Linked DNA regions of Alligator mississippiensis. The protein of the gene in region 1 interacts with the protein of each later gene in a pairwise test. Links are inferred from orthologs where the notes say so. Each region holds a gene or a part of one and is shown on either strand. Other genes may lie near its edges.

Region 1 (8,074 bases):
GTACTTATTGGAAGGATTGGACCTATAGGCCATGTCTAGATGTGCATGGACATTTGGTTCCCTAGGGACAACTAGCGGCAGTGCACCTTGTGCTGCTGCTAGGCCCCAGGAAACATCTGTCATGCACGTGCTGGCACATGTCAAGTTACCCCTGGTAGGATAGGGTAGGCTGAGGCCAGCACTGGGCTGGCCCCAGCAGCCTTACTTAGGGTTCTGGTGGCCTCCAAGGGCTGCATCAGTGGTGATCCTGACGTGCAGAGCCTGGCCAGCAGCAGAATGCAGCTCTGGCTGGCCAGGCTCCACTTTGGCCAACCCACGCTGCCACCGCGTATCACTCCATGTCTTTTCTCTGCAGGTTTTTTTGATCCCTGGTGTCCAGGGGTCAAAAAATCCCTCCGTGCTGCTCCCTTGTGACACAGAGAACAACTGAACGTGTGGTATATAGCACTGCAGACATGTATGCAGCGCCACATACCACATTGCCACGTCCAGACTAGTGCAGCCATAGTTACCTCCAAAATAGTCTCTCTCACTCTGATCCTTTTCCATTTATCAGCCTGATACTATTTATCTATTTTTTCCTGTGAGCTTAATTTGAATAGTTAGCAAGTATGCTTGGTTCAAAGACTCTAAGCAGCAATGTGCCTGAGTTTTATTAATATAATCCAGAGAGGAATCCTAAGTGTATAAGTACTGTGTAGCTGTTCTAATGGCATAATGTGTTTATTTCAGCCATGGAAAATCATGAAAGTTTACCAGCCCAGAACTCATGTTGCTTTCTATGTGAATGATGAGAATTTTAGAGGAAAAACTGTCAAAGCCATATGTAATATATGGCATATCTGTCAAAAACAGACACTTCTGCCAAAACTAAACACAAAACCAGTTACTTTAGGAGCGTGGGCAACTATTAATTCACATGGCTCACTATTTAGTTGAAATTTAACAAATATGCTGTGTTCCAGGGCTCAAGACTTGGAAAACAAATTACTGTGGAACCATTTTATAGTTTAGAAGGCATCTTCTACCAGGTACAAAGTAGCTTTTGAATAAGAACAAATTAAGCACTTACATTTCTTGACAATGTCTTTTTTAATAGCAGGGCTTCAAGCAACCATTGATATACTACTAGAGTAAGAATGCAAATAATGGTACTATTTTACTGTACTGCTGTGGTGCGTTTCATCTAAGGATCTCAAAATTCTCTGGAGACATTAATTAATTAAGCCTTGCAACAACCCTGCAAAGTATTACCACCACAATTTTATAGCAAGGGAATTTATGCACCAAGAGATGGAGAGGCAGACCATGACTGTAATGAACGGAATGTCTAACTCATTCTCTTATCACTAGAACACAATGCTATTCAATTACCATTAACTAGAACACTGGATCAGAAATGTTTGATATACACAAATACACATATGCTACTACCAAAACAGATGCAGGAAATATTTTTATGAATTAAACTTATCACCTGACAAAATGTACATCAGATAACGAGCAGTTTAACTGGTTATTCATGTTCCCTATTTTGGGAAAATTACATATTCTTTAAAATATGCAACACTTCCTTTAATGATTTATAATTTTCATCAGCAATCAGAAATTTTAACCCCTAAAATTAAACTATTTCTTCTAAACAGTATTCTCAGCCTATACAGAAGAAACATCTTTTTCTTCTTGCTCTTTTTCCCACACTTTGAAGAAAATCTCTAGTTTTAACAAGCAGACTCAGTGCTACCAGTGAGAAGGTTATTTCAGCCTTCCATTCAGAGCTTTTAGGTGCTCAGGAAGCCTATTTACTGGTATTCTACTAAAGAGTTATAAACAAGATGTAAATTTTTACATCAACCTGTAAATGGCGTATAGTAAATACTTACCATGATAAGGGTTCTGTTACAAGATTATTATCCTGAGTCTCACATACTCCTATACATACCTTCATTTCCCTTAAGCAACACTAAAATACAATTCATCAGGCACAAAATTGTTCATTACATCACATCACACAGGTGAACTGTAATTATTTTATCTAAAGACACACTAAAATAAGCTTCCTGGGGACATGGAAGTGGTTAGAGGATGGTTTTCAAAAGTTTAGTTACACAGATGACAGGAAGATTCACATTTACTTCAGCTAAAGAATCATTTTGTCCTAACAGGCATGACAAAACCTGTCTTCATTCCTTTCTGTTCAGCTCAGCTAGTACTTCCTGAGTTCCAGTAGTTAATCAGTTACCAGATTCCAGAGCTTTTGTTTTCTATGCCATTTATTTTTCCTTATTTGACGCTGTACTTGTAAACGATCCAGAGCCCAAACCCTCACAAATTTCAGAGCTGTCAGGAGTAGGTTTATTATTTGGATTCATTTATATTTGTATTGCTACTCTGAATTACTTATTACACACAAAACATGTTTGTGAAGCCTTTATTTGGTAAGTAAGGGAAAGTTAATAATAGTTCTTTATTTTTAAGAAACAGTTTGCTTTCAACACTCACCACTAAGTCAGTTATGCATGTGCTAAACCAAATTTTGCCAAGTAAGTTATTCCATAAACCTGCAAAATTTAAAATAAAAGTGTTGGTCTAACAAGAAATAGATAATAGTATCAACATTTAGTACCTTATAACACTTTACCTTATCACAATACCCCTCTGAGATGGTTCTGTCTTAAGACAGTTAAGTGACTTGCCCAAGTTGATACACCGAGTCAATGGCAACACCCTAATTAGTATTCAGATATTCCTGTCTCCTACTACTGTACAATTAATTAGACAATTCTCTCCATTAAATGTTATTAGATAAAGATGGAATAGCTGATGTTTACCTACATACAGAAGTGTCAGAAGTTATACAAATGATGTCACTTAGAAACACAGAAGCTGGAGCTAATGGTATATAGTAAACAGATCCATACAAAAAACATTCACTACAAATTTAAGTGCAGTAACACTGAATTTCAGAGTTAGATTTTCTTAAATTACTTTAAAATTTTTTTTTTAAAACTCACCCTTTTGTTTTAATTGTGAAAGGTTCTGTTCTTGATCAGGGAAGGTGAATACTTACTGCTGACTTCCCCTCAAGCTATAAACCTAAAGCATAAGTGAGATGAGGAATTCACTGTGGACCACACTGAAGAATGCTGAGATGAGATCTGCTGCACCTAAGATATATACAATGTGCAATGGATAACCTAATATGCCTTTCATTTAACTGGCTGGGCAGGTTTCTACATTCTGTAGAACATGGAATCATACCAGAATTTGTTGGCATAACAGGCCTGCCAAACCGGTTTCTCAGTAGAACAGGAACCTGCCCAACCAGTCTGCATCAAAGGCCAGCCTAACATGCTGCAGCTCAACTCAGTTCAGCTAGGCTTCGTAGATGGTGAATTATTCACGCCTCCGTCAACTCCCAGCGCACCACTGATAGAATGATGTAGCCTCCAGCAAAATAATTTGCTGAGGGATGAGGGAGTGATATATCCATGTCAAATCCAGAAAGATCCTATTGTTGTAAACTCTTTCATTGCATTACGAAATGCATTGTTTTAGGAGATTTACTTTTCACTAGCATAAACAGGGAAGAAAACTATTTTAAAGCAATAACAACATAAGTTTATTGTAATTAAATAACACCACATATTTAGCACAACTGTCATGACAAAAACAAAACATTAACAAATTCTGCTCTCCTCTTAAGACCTCTCCCCATCCATAGATACTATCTTACCTATTGGAAACAAGTCTTCCCTTGCATATAGAGAAAGGATGCTGAGAGAGCTTGCACAGAAGGTTTGAAACTCATGTTCTCTGTAGGGCTGTATCTGCCCACATGTCATCTGGTTCTGTAAAAAGATTTTCCAGGGTTAGAGGCAGTGCAATGTGTGTGCAGTGCACCCACCCCTGTGCAGAACTACTTAGATGTCATCACCCTTCTGTGGTAGAGAGGACAAAGCTGCTGGGCATGCTACTATAGCACCCTGCAGTAGGAGCTACAGTGCAGCCCCTGGATAGTGTGGGGACAAGAATACTTACAGAACTGCTCTGAGCAAAGCCTATGTATTCTAGCTATATGCAGAGACCAGGATTTGCCTGGTATTACCTTCTTCCAAACAGGAACACAGACCAGAATTTATACAGTTTGTTACATGATTTTCAAAGGTGCTAAGTACCTCTGTCTTCTCCTGAAGCCAATGGTTGTAGATATTTAACACTCATAAAATTAGACTGTATTTACCTAAGGTGAGGTTTCTAGAGGCATAATTGGGGCTCATTTAACTTTTACTTAAGAGCCTCACTTTAGGACCAGTACTTAGGCTTGACAAAGGCATTGGTAAAGTTAGAAACATGTACATTTATTCATGATGTAACCTAATCATGGAATTTGTATATACTTCTTCAGATCCCTACTTGTTATTTATGAATTTTAATAGCTATTCAACCTCCAATGCTTAGAGCAGAGGAAATAAGCCTCACCTTTAACCAAGCTTATGCAATGCAACCACTTTTTCATCATAGCCCAGCATAGATCAAAGCAAGGAATGGAGATGTTTGCAAGAAACCTACTGAAGTATCTGTTGTCCTGTGTGAAGGTAAAGCTGAATGTGAGGCTATATTTTGTGAAGTATTTGGAAAGTAGGAGCTACCACTGGAGAAGGCAATGAGATTCCTAACTTTCAGCCAAGTTGACAGATGTTCGCTGTTTATGCTTGCAGTCATACCACCTAAGGCTATGATTTTATGCAGCTAAGCAGGGTTGGGTTTGGTCAGTACTTGGCTAAGAGTCTTAACAAGTAAAACTGCCGCAGGAAGTGGTTTTGGTGATTCAGTAGGCGGTACTGAGTAGTTATGAAGCAATGCAAGCATTAGACAGGGAGTACAGAGTGCTAAAGGTACCATATTTGTGATAAAATATGAAACAGAAGATGTGGAAACTTGGGATTTTTAATTATTTCCTAGCATTTTTCACATAAGATGTAGATTTTTAACAAGTATCCTTGTCAAATTTGAAATAAAATTTCTCTGGAAGTTTCAATTGGAGACAGTATTCTTCATTTTGTTTCCCAAAATGTTGTGCAGTGCTGCTGAGCAGTACTAAATGGCTGCTACATTCTTTCCAGAAATGGGTCTATTTTTAAAGTGGTTAATTCAATCCTCTTTATTGTATTTAAATTGTAAAGTGTATTATTTAGATTGTAAAGATATATAGACTCATTAGAAGTGTTGCACATATACTTGATTTCATACTGAATATGAAATATACTGAGGAAAAAATCATATGATTTATTTGATTTTGGTATTTCTAATGTTGGCAATATTATATCACCTAACAGACTGAGGTATATTTTTTAAAGTTCATCCACAGTTAGTGTTAATTTTAGAAATACCTTATCCTGTTAAGAGTTTGACTGTAATTAACTCCTAGAACTCATTGCCACAAGGTATTGTAATGGCTGATAATTTAATCAGTTCAAGAGGGAACTGGAAAAAATCAGAGGTCCATCAGTTGCTATTAGATATGTTAGTTTTGAGTCTAACCTCAAAATCAGGATTTCCTAAACATCTGAACCTGGAAGCCACAGAGGAGAGGGGCAGGGGATAGATCATCTGGATAGGTTTCACATAAATACTCTGGCAGACAAGGTTCTTTGGGTAAATTGGATGTCTTTTATTAAACATTATTTTTCTTTTTAAGCTTTTGAGCACAAACACCCTTCTTCAGGCTGAGAAAGCATCTGCAATTGGTCTGTGGTCTTCCTGGTTGGAATGAATAGTAAAGCAGCCAGGGGCTGGTATACATGCAAGAAAATCAGTCAGTGACTATGTAAGTTGAAGAGTCAATGGGTGAGAGAGAGGCTGGGGGTGGGGAGGGTGAATGTAGCTGGTAAATAGTGGAGAGGTACCCGGGGAGTCAGATGTTAGGCAGGTATATGTCATAAATCCAATGTCTATACTTAGTCCATGATTTTTTGATCCAGTAGGTTGATGAAGTGAAGTTTGTAGGCTCATCTGTGAAAGGTATTTTGTAAATTCCCTTTGAGGATTAGAACTGAGAGACTGGAGAGAGAGTGGTTTTTCTTGTGATAAATGTGCCCCCACAGGTAATTGGGTATTCTTGTCTTTGATAGATTACCAGTGTGTGTTCATTCTGGTACACAGTTGTTGTTTCGTCTCTCCTATGTATTTTCCATCAGGGCATTTGGTGCATTGGATGAGATATAGGAGGTACAGCTGTGAGATCCAGGAATGCTGAAGGTTCTGTTGTGGGGGTGGTGGAGATATATTGTCAGGTTTTAGATTTCTTGTCATGGCATGGCCTGGATCCATTCGGTGTGTTTTGGGCCTTGTTTGCCTATGCTCTTAGACCAACCTAGCTACAACCTATACCTCAACACATAAATACTCTTACCCTGAAGCATCTAGTCATGCCATGGTGAGAAAGAGACTACTGAATTAGATGGATCTGTGGTCTAACCCACTATGGCATTTCTTACATTCTTATGTTTTCTATATACATAATGTATGTTTTTGGATGATTAAGGACAAGAAATCTGTGTCATGTAGAAGTTTGGTTTCCAAAAAGAGAAGTGAAATAAAACTCTTTCTTTTCACTAAACTTCAGAAAGGACGTGGACAAGTTGGAGAGAGTCCAGTGGAGGGCAATGAAAATGGTTAGGGGGCTGGGTCACATGACTTGTCAGAAGAGCCTCAGGGAACTGGATTTATTTAATCTGCAGAAAAGAAGATTGGGGGCAGGGGGAGGAGAGAACTTGATAGCAGCCTTTAACTACCTGAAGGGTACTTACAAAGAGGACGAAGCTAGACTGTTCTCAGTGGCAGCAGATGACAGAACAAGGAACAATGGTTTCAAGTTGCAGCAAGGGAAGTTTAGACTGGATATTAGGGAAAACTTTCTCACTAGGAGGGTAGTAAAGCAGTGGAACAGGTTACCTAGAAAGATGGTGGAATCTTCATCCTTGGAGGTTTTTAAAGCCTAGCTTGACAAAGCTGTGGCTGGAATGGTCTAGTTGGGGATGGTCATGCTTTGAGCAGTGGATTGAACTAGATGACCCATTAAGGCCCTTTCCAACCCTAATTTTCTATGATTCTATGAATGACAAAACTGCTGAAGTGATATTTTCAGCATATTCTTTTAAAATAGAAATGAATTATTCTAAACTTGTAATCCCTCAGTGTGGATTTTTAGGCACATTTCAAATCTAACAGCTGGGATTTATTATTTTTTTTACGTAGCAGAGCTTAAGGGCTCTGGTGGTTAACAATCTTATATATGCTTCCTTTGACATGGCAACTTATAAAAGGGTGAAAACTAGGGGTGCACTGATAGAGATTTTGGGGGCCGATACCGATAGCCGATATTTAAGGAGGCATATTGGCCGATACTGATCCAATATCCAATACAGCTGCCATCAGGTGGTAGATCTGGTGTGGTGGAAGGGGAGAGGGGAGGGAAAGGGCTTGTGGGGGCAGATCAATGCTCCCTGCGGTGAGGGAGGGTGCAGAGCAGGCTCTGCCCAGCTGGGGTGGAGGGGGGCGCGGGATGGAGGCGCAGCTCATGGGGTGGGGGCAGCTCCCACCACCACTTGCATCCTGGGAGGCTGGGGTGGGTCCCCAGATCTGTGTGGTGCAGGGCGGGCTGCAGCTGCGGGGTGGAGCCGGCACTGTGTGGGTCTTTTCTTGCTGGGAGCTGGGCTTGTAGAGGGCGCCAGTGGTGCTAGGAGAAGGCTGCAGCCGGAGCTGCACTGGGCAGCAGCGTGGGACTGGGAGCGGAGCTGCGGCAAAATTTAGAGTGGCAGCAGCCTCCTCCCAGCACCACTGGAGCCTGCTCTGAGTCCAACACCTGGCAAGAAAAGCCCTGCACAGCACAGGCTCCGACTCCACCCCACAGCTGGAGCCTGCCCCATGTCATGCAGATCCAGGGGCACACGCACCCCCCCACCCCCCTCAGGGTGCAAGTGGCAGCAGGAGCTGCCCCCACCCCATGAGCCGTACCTCTGTCCCAACCCCCCACCCCAGCTGGGCAGTGCCTGTCCCTACCCCTGCCCCC
Region 2 (8,006 bases), on another chromosome or scaffold:
TTGCTCTAAAATGCATGTAAAACCAGTACAAAGTATCTAGGGCATCAATGCACAGGAGTGGAATTCATAGTACTTAGCTTCTGTGGCAGAAATAACCAATGCACAGAAGAGTGCTCTTAAGAAATATTAATTTTGCAAAATAATTCCAGCTACATGGAATCTGAATCAGAGACTTGAAAACCACCCACGTAAATAACCTAGGTACTTCTGGGTTCCTAGGCATTTGTAATAAAATGTTAATGCAACATCTGCAAAAATCAGAAACCAAACTCACTCTTTAGGTTTGAATATTCAACTGCAATAAATCAGCATTGCTCCATATCTGTCAACTGGGGGACCTGGCTCTAATTTTTTTAAGCCCTCGGACTTTACGCTGTTTCCCTGCTTACACCTAAATTCACAAAAGTCTTTGAGGCAGAGCTCTCTACCTGTACCTTTATGTGGGGAGCAAATACAGGGCAAATGATCAATTTAAGAATATTTGGCAAACCACTTGCAGAACAGTTATAGAGTATAGATAAAACCCATTTAAGGGATGTGAATTTTCTGGTAAGATGATTGACTGAGGTATTTTTATAAGAGAAACTGTTTCTATTCTTCAGTAAGTAAAAAGATGATTTCTGTGTTTGACAGGAAGTCATGTTGCATCCATATAAAGGGAGAGCAACATCCTCTATAACAAGGGTTGCCAACCTGCAGCACAAGTGCCACAGGCGGCCTGTGTGTATGGCTCATGGCAGATCAGGGAGAGGAGAAGCAGCACAGTCACAGAAAGCAGAGCTGGAGACTGGGCAAAGTACAAGGTAGGGAGCAGAAAACAGAGCACCAGACCAGGCAGAGCATGGGGATTAGAATGGCACTCAGAGGGGTACATCTACACATGAGCAATAAACTCGGCAGTTTTTTGCTTCCAAGTTTATTGCTCCTGGGAAGCTCCCTGGCACGTGGTTTAGATGCGTGCCCAAACTGCAGCATACCGAGCCAGGTCTGAGCAGCCTCGGCTGGCAGGGAGTCAGGGGGGTCAGCCTGCCAGCCTGGAGCTGCTCTGACCAGGCTCAATGTGTTGCACAGGGGCTGGATAGGGCACAAGTGTGCTCCAGTGTGGGGCAAGCCAGCAGACAGCCTCTGCACTGAAGCACCCTCATGCCCTAGGCAGTTGGGTCTGAGTCTACACATGTGCAGCTGTGCACAAAAAACTGCTGCAGGGTAGGACTTGTAAATACTCTGCTGCAGAGTTTATATTAGTTTCCTGCATCCTAACAGGGGTGCATGTCGAGACACAGAGACATTTACTGCAGAATTAATTGGTCAGCTTTACAGTAAATGCCTCATGTAGGCACACTCAGGGACAGCACAGGGCCAATTTGTGGCATGCCTGCCAAAAAGGCTGGATGCTGAGTATTACTTTACAGGTATTAGTGTCCTCAACTCCAACTGACTTCCTCTGTACAAAACTTGCGTCGGTTCATGGTATTACATTAACACAGATTGTGAACAGATCTGTGATTCAAGGACTAGACTCCTAAATCACCTCAAGACCCATCAATGAGCCTTGGCAGAGATCATCCTTGAATTGAGGGAGTGCCAACAATAATTAACACAGTTCTTATTAAATGGTTCCAAACTGAGGAACTATATTCTTTATACCAGTAAGTCTCAACAAGGAAACTGAGAGATCTTTTAAAGGGTGATATTAGCACTGTTAGGTGCTCCAACATGATTCATAAGATAAAACCAGTGATTTCAAATAGGAATCAATCGTGTCAGAAACCTTCTATCCTGCTGTGGTCGTTTTGAGTTCTTTGCAACAGAATAATTGCTCTAGTATTTTTTATAGTCACAAAACTAGTAAAAACCAACATTTTCTGAGGGGTGCTGTCTAATGAGGGGTGCCTCAAATCTGAAGAAGTTGAGCAGCACCGTACATAGACTCCTGGTGGCCCCACACGAACTTTTAGTATCAGGCCCCGCTTCGCCAGAGATAATGATACTATTAATAAAAAAATGACCATTTTCAAGCCCCCTATTTGTCTGGGCCCTGGGCAGCTGCCCGGTTCGCCCATGCCTGTGTTCGGTCCTGAAGCTGAGAACTACTACCTAACACTACACCACAGAAAAATAGCAAGCCCTGCTTAAAACAGCACTTGCCTGGTTATTAGTAATCTGCTGGTTTTTCTATTCTACAACTCTTTTCAGAAGAGGGTGACAGTAGCTGCATTTTCCACATAAACCTCAAGAGTATCAGATCAAGAGTATTCCATTTCTCACAGGGTTTCAAGCAAATGTACATGTGTGTGCACGCATGCACGCACGCACAAATAAGAAACGTAAAGAATGTCTAGCTGTATTGCTAACTGCCTCTCTTCATAAACTACTTCTGTCAAAACTATTGTGCTTTTTCAAAGGGAAACAGGTTATTTCACACCCTATCTACTGAAAAAGTGTCCAGATTTGGTGTGAATATTGAACACAGTATAACTTGCAACCTTTTCTATAGCTCAACAGCTTTTGCATAGAAAAGGTGAACAGATATTGTACCTTAGAATTTAACTTCAAGCATTTCTTGGATACAAAGTACTATCTAACCAGAAGTAGTTGGTGAAGAAACTTCGAAAAGCATAGCTTTTAGCAAAACCAAAAAAACCCAGAAACAAACAAACAAACAAAAAACTCCTCGCCCTCAAAGCTTTCTTTTCTCCCTGCAGAACTCTCAAATACTTAATTCACTTTACTTTGAGAAATGTCAAAATTTCCTAATGGCAACATAAGCTTACTATTTGTTATGGTAATCAATAATTATCCACCAAAATGTAATAAATAGAAAGTTATGGTACCAGTAAGATCATTTGTACCTTTTCCCCCAAAATTTGTACAAACTAATATCCAAGTCTCACACACATAATTTGATTTGCAAGTGCAAAATAGTTCATTAAAAAAATCACGTGGGGATGAAAACTACCAATTAATCAATCACAACAAGTGGAATTGCACTAGAGAATGGATCAATCCTATTCTATACAAAATAAAACGAGTAAAGACAACTACAGATGTTAAAAGGTGATCTGTCAAATAACATCCAAATGCTGAGCAAGTGAACTTACGATCTTGCGTAAAAGTCACAAAACTCTTTGTATACTTTTATTTCACTGTGCCTACGCTGTAATTTTGACACTGGTTTTTCGCCTTCATTTCCTCTGATATTGTAGGCATCCTGAGGGACCTTGTGTGGAGCGTCTTCAGTCTCTGGAATCAGATAGGAGCGAGCTCTGCTTTGGAATTCCATCCTTCGTTAACTATTATGAAAAATCCACTGTAATACTCAAAAGGAAGCTGCAGACAAAAATCCAGAGAAACAATACGCAGGAATCCTCCTTGTTCCCAGGGAAGTGATTTATTTTCACAGTGTCATGTCAGTTAGCTCGGCTTGTCGAGCACTCTGGTAGAGCTTCACGTTAAGAGCTCAGCGGCAGAGCAGCTAGAACGTCATGCTGCTATTTACTAAGGGGTCATTGGAAGCTGAGGAACACATTCCATTACAAGGTTGTAATACAAACTTGGACAGTACATCAGGGCTTCACTATCTATTGCCGATAGAAGAATTCTAGTCAGGCACAGAAGAGCTATTTTATGAGTAAACCTGTGCAAGTGAACACATTCATTGTCAAGCTCATCAAGTTACTAGAGGAAAAAAGTACTAGGTAGAAAAAAAATGACCACAATGCTACTTTATCATGAAAACACTAACACTGAAAAACATACAAGAAATATTTTGTCACTAGATGAAGATTGTTTTTAAACTTCTGGCAAACTAAATTGTAAAAATAGCCTTTTGCACTACTAACGAGTCATTCTTAGTTAAGTAGTCTGAGATTATAGATCAACAAGGACTTAAACTGCAGCAAGGGAAATTTAGATGGATGAACTCTCTCACTAAGAGGGTGGTTAATCACTAGAACAAACTACCTAAAGAGGTTGTGGAATCTCCTTCATCACCACACATTTTTAACTGAGAGTTAGGCAAACACTTGGCTAAAATGGTTTAAACCGAGGTATCAAAGGTATGGCCCATGGGGTCCAACAGCTGGCCCCTGCCCCTGAGTCTCGAGTTGAACCACGTGAGGTGTGCACTGGACTGGCCCCATGCGTAGGGCCCAAGACATGCCAAATGCGATGCCTGCTCCAGCCAGTGTAGGACATGCATTGCATGTGCAGACCACTCTGAGACCTGCACTACAAGCAGCACCCGCACACAGCCAGTTCAGGACCCCTCCGCCCGCCACACACCAAATCTAATAGCCGTGGCGCTTGCTCTAGGACTGTGCTGCACAACCGGTTTGGGACATATGCTGTGTGTGATCCACATCCCAGACTGGCTGGAGCAGCTGCTGTATCTAGCATGTGAGGAAGGGCATGGGACTCATTTGGCCTGCAGGGCTGGCCCTGAGTTATTCACCTGGCCTATGCACTGGTCCTGTGCCACTCATCCAGCCCATGGAGCCTGATCACTTTGACACCTCTGGTTTAAATAGTCATGAGTCTTCCTTGATCAGAAAGGGCTGTCCAAGATCAGGGGTTGGTATCCTATAGTCTCTGGGCTGTAGCCAATGGATATGGTAACCTACAGTCTACTCTGCAGAGCCTATAGATCCAAGAGGACTCTAGTGGTATTCATGGAGCAGGAGGGCCTCATTCATGCTATGTTGCATTGCAGCTAGGTAGAGTGTGTGGAGGTTATTCCAGCCTGTCACCACAAAAAGGCTACCAATTGCTGGATTAAATGACTTCTTAGTGGTTCCTACCAACCATATTATTCTGATCCCATAACAATTTTCTTCCTAGAAAAGTAGAGGGTTTTTTTTCCATTTTCCTTTCATTAACAGAATTGCCAAGAAAGGTGTAGTTAACTATGTAAGAAACAGTGATAACAAACTTGATTTTCAGTTACCAGGCTGTGCTTGCAGCACTGTACTCATAGAAAAAGTCCTATACAGATTGGAAATCTGAAAAGGGAAGAGAAGAGAGAAAACCATCCTGTTATCACATGGATGACAATTCCTGATGCTGAATGACACCATTTTTTCATATTATTTTAATGCTACATTCTTCTTAAAAACAATATCATTTTCCATGTTCTACCAATGGCAGGCCTCTTAGAGTAGTTATCTCACCCCAGGAGATTATGCATCTTTCGGTTCCATAGGAAGGTCAGATAAAGTCAGGACTGGCAGCCAGTAACTATGCTCTCTTGCCATACTCTAGCTGGTTAAAATCTGATACCTGTGACACAGATGACAGGCCCAACCTCTAACAGCTTTGGACTTTCAAACTGAAATGGATAGCCCAAGTAACTAAGTGATGTGTCACAATCAACAGACTCTCATTAGCAACTGGTTAAAAATGCACAGTAAAGCCACGCACAGGTTACATTGTCGACAGGAGTGGTTTTGGTATCTATGCTTGTTACTGTGTAGCATGAGAAAGCCAGGGCAGAGATCAGGGAGAGACTAACTAGGAACGAACACTTGAGCTCGCAAACACAGAAAACTGACAATATTAAGGGAACTCCAATAAAGCTTCTGTTTCTTAGGAAATGCCAGTGGCTTTAAAAAAAAGGAAAGGCCCTGTTTGTACTACAATTTTTGACCATGTTGAAAATAACATCGGCACAGCTGGCTGACTCTAAATAATGTTCGAGGCAACATTGAGTATGGTTAAAAATGGCAGCAAGACACCCTAAGCAGAGGCCTAGTCTGACACTTGGCTGTTTTTCTGCCACCAAGCTGTGTTTTTGCTGTAAGGGACAAACAGAGATGTTGTGCAACTGGTTTGCGCCTGTCCTACATCCACTTTCTCTTGGCTGTATGACGCTCTGGAGCATGCTTCCCCCATGTGCAGCTTGCAGTTTTCTGTGGGCAGGTCCTACAGGCATTCTAGCCACAGACTAAAAACTCACTGGATTGCAGCCTGGGGTGTCACAGGACATGCCTTTAGCATATGGCTCAGCAGAAGCACTGGGTCACACACTCCAACATGGCTTTGATGCCAGAATTGCTGTCATGTAGACACAAACTGAACCTGACGTGCTACCTGTCACTAATTAAGGAGGTGAGATTTTTTTTAAAGTACTTAAAAGACACTTTACCAGTATAATGGAGACAGGACTTAGCACCACCTGTACTTCATATAATGATGTCTGAATCAAACATTTTTCCTCCCCCGTTCCCACGCCCCCACAGTGTAATCTTGAAACAAAATATGTGGCAGGTGCATGGACAGGAGACAAAATCTGTAGCTGTTTCTGTGGAACATTTACAAGTACTTTAATCTGTTAGAGCAGGAGTCTGCAATCAAAAGCTGCAGACATGCGGCTTTGGCAGCATTTGGCAGTAGGGACAAGTGAAGGCTGAACCCTCTCCCTGTGGCTTCAGACAGAAACTGCGATGATGGGAGCAGGGTCCTAGTGCCATCTTGACACACACTGTTCCTCTACTAAGCCTTAGTGCCACTCTTTTATTGATTAATCCTGCCCTTCCTGTGGAACTAAGAAGGCAAAGAAGCTTCATCATGATACTGTATCATTAACCCAGGGCTAGCGTGCATCAAGAAGTAGTCTTTGTCACAACCCAAGGGTGTGATTTTTGTTTGTGTGTGCTTCGGCACTGCTGAATTATTTCCCGCCACTTGTAGCTTTCTTTGCAGGGTTGCAACACAGAAATGCACGTTGCAAGGAGTTCCCGCCATTTGTATTCAAATTCGTGCCCCACTATTGGTCAGTTCTAAATTATTCCTACGTGGTGGCTAGCGATTGGCTTGCTAGCCATATAAGAGGCTTGAGTGGTTTCCGCCCAAGTTGGAGGACTCCACGAACATCAGGAGGAGGAGACTTCACGTCTCGTGAAGATCTCTAAGCGCTGCGGAGCCTATTGGACCCAGCGTGTATTTCAAGAAGGCTATAGGGGTCTGATCAGCCTCTCGCCTCTCCCCGTCGCCGCCTAATCCCTTGACATACCCTTCCCTGTGCGCACAAGTTCCACGGAGCCTAGCAAACTTCGTGTGAGTGAATCCAGAGCTCTGTCCGAGTCCTTAAACTGGGACTTAAGCGAAGTTTTCCTGGAAGTTTTCCAGCCTGCACCACGACCATCTACAGTGTAAGTAAACAATCTTAAATCAACCATTAAGCGTCTGTGCCTAATTCTAGCGTGCCACCTGCCTTCCCCGACCCGGCGTGTCCGGGCTGCTGGCCACAGCCCGCCGCGCGAATAAAAAGGGCCTCGGACTGCTCCCGGCCCGCACAGTCTTAACATGGTGCCCATTGGGCACCATTAGGGTTTACAGTTTCCCAGTTTATGAATTTAAAAAATCCTCCTGGATTGTAAAGCATTCATCCAGGGGAATAAGTTCAAGGTGCAAACAAAAGCACACAAAAAGGGCCAAACTGTATTTGTACTGGTAAGGCACCTCCCATTTAAATGTTTTAACACAGAGTAAAGCCTGGATATCAGAAGCATTTTAGAGGTGGAGAAAAGTAGCAGTGGCGGCTGGTTTGGAAGTGCTGGCCTTTCTGGAACTGAGCTGTGTTATTTCAGCCTGATGCTCTGAAAAGCTTGCCAACCTATGGACTAGAATAAACACCTGTTGTTTCTACAGGCTAAGCTCATTGGAAATGCCAAGATTCCTTTGTTTCCCTCTATTTTTCTTGCCCACGAAGCCCTCTGTATGCTACTTTCCCATCCCCCTGTATGCCTGTGGGACCCCAAAAGCCAATCCCTCCTCATACCAATGGCTCCTACGTGTCTCTTCATTCTGCCCCTCCCTGAATTTCCCCTTTCCTATCTGGGGAGGAGAGCGATGCATGGCCCTCATTTTCCCTTTCCACTGTTATAAACAAATGGATAACAGAGGCACATCTTCAAGTGGAACAGAAGGCGCAGCAAGCTTGTATTATAAAGGAATAACTGGCCAGCTGTCAGATGCATTTTGTATGCTAGATGCTTTTACAGTTCCTA

The links.
Region 2: the proteins of RBBP8 (region 1) and LIMS1 interact in a two-hybrid assay, tested with the Homo sapiens proteins (2 studies listed by BioGRID and IntAct). The two-hybrid records come from large-scale screens. The link is inferred for Alligator mississippiensis from reciprocal best matches to the Homo sapiens genes RBBP8 and LIMS1.

Annotation. Positions count from the first base shown.
Region 1 is NC_081826.1:87,334,067-87,342,140, forward strand, and holds the start of RBBP8 (DNA endonuclease RBBP8), read right to left. Parts: upstream 3,169-8,074; 5' UTR 3,015-3,168; intron 2,562-3,014; 5' UTR 2,503-2,561; intron 1-2,502. UniProt on the Homo sapiens protein: Endonuclease that cooperates with the MRE11-RAD50-NBN (MRN) complex in DNA-end resection, the first step of double-strand break (DSB) repair through the homologous recombination (HR) pathway.
Region 2 is NC_081824.1:349,550,733-349,558,738, reverse strand, and holds the start of LIMS1 (LIM and senescent cell antigen-like-containing domain protein 1), read right to left. Parts: upstream 3,432-8,006; 5' UTR 3,284-3,431; coding exon 3,102-3,283; intron 1-3,101. UniProt on the Homo sapiens protein: Within the IPP (ILK-PINCH-PARVIN) complex, binds to F-actin, promoting F-actin bundling, a process required to generate force for actin cytoskeleton reorganization and subsequent dynamic cell adhesion events such as cell spreading and migration.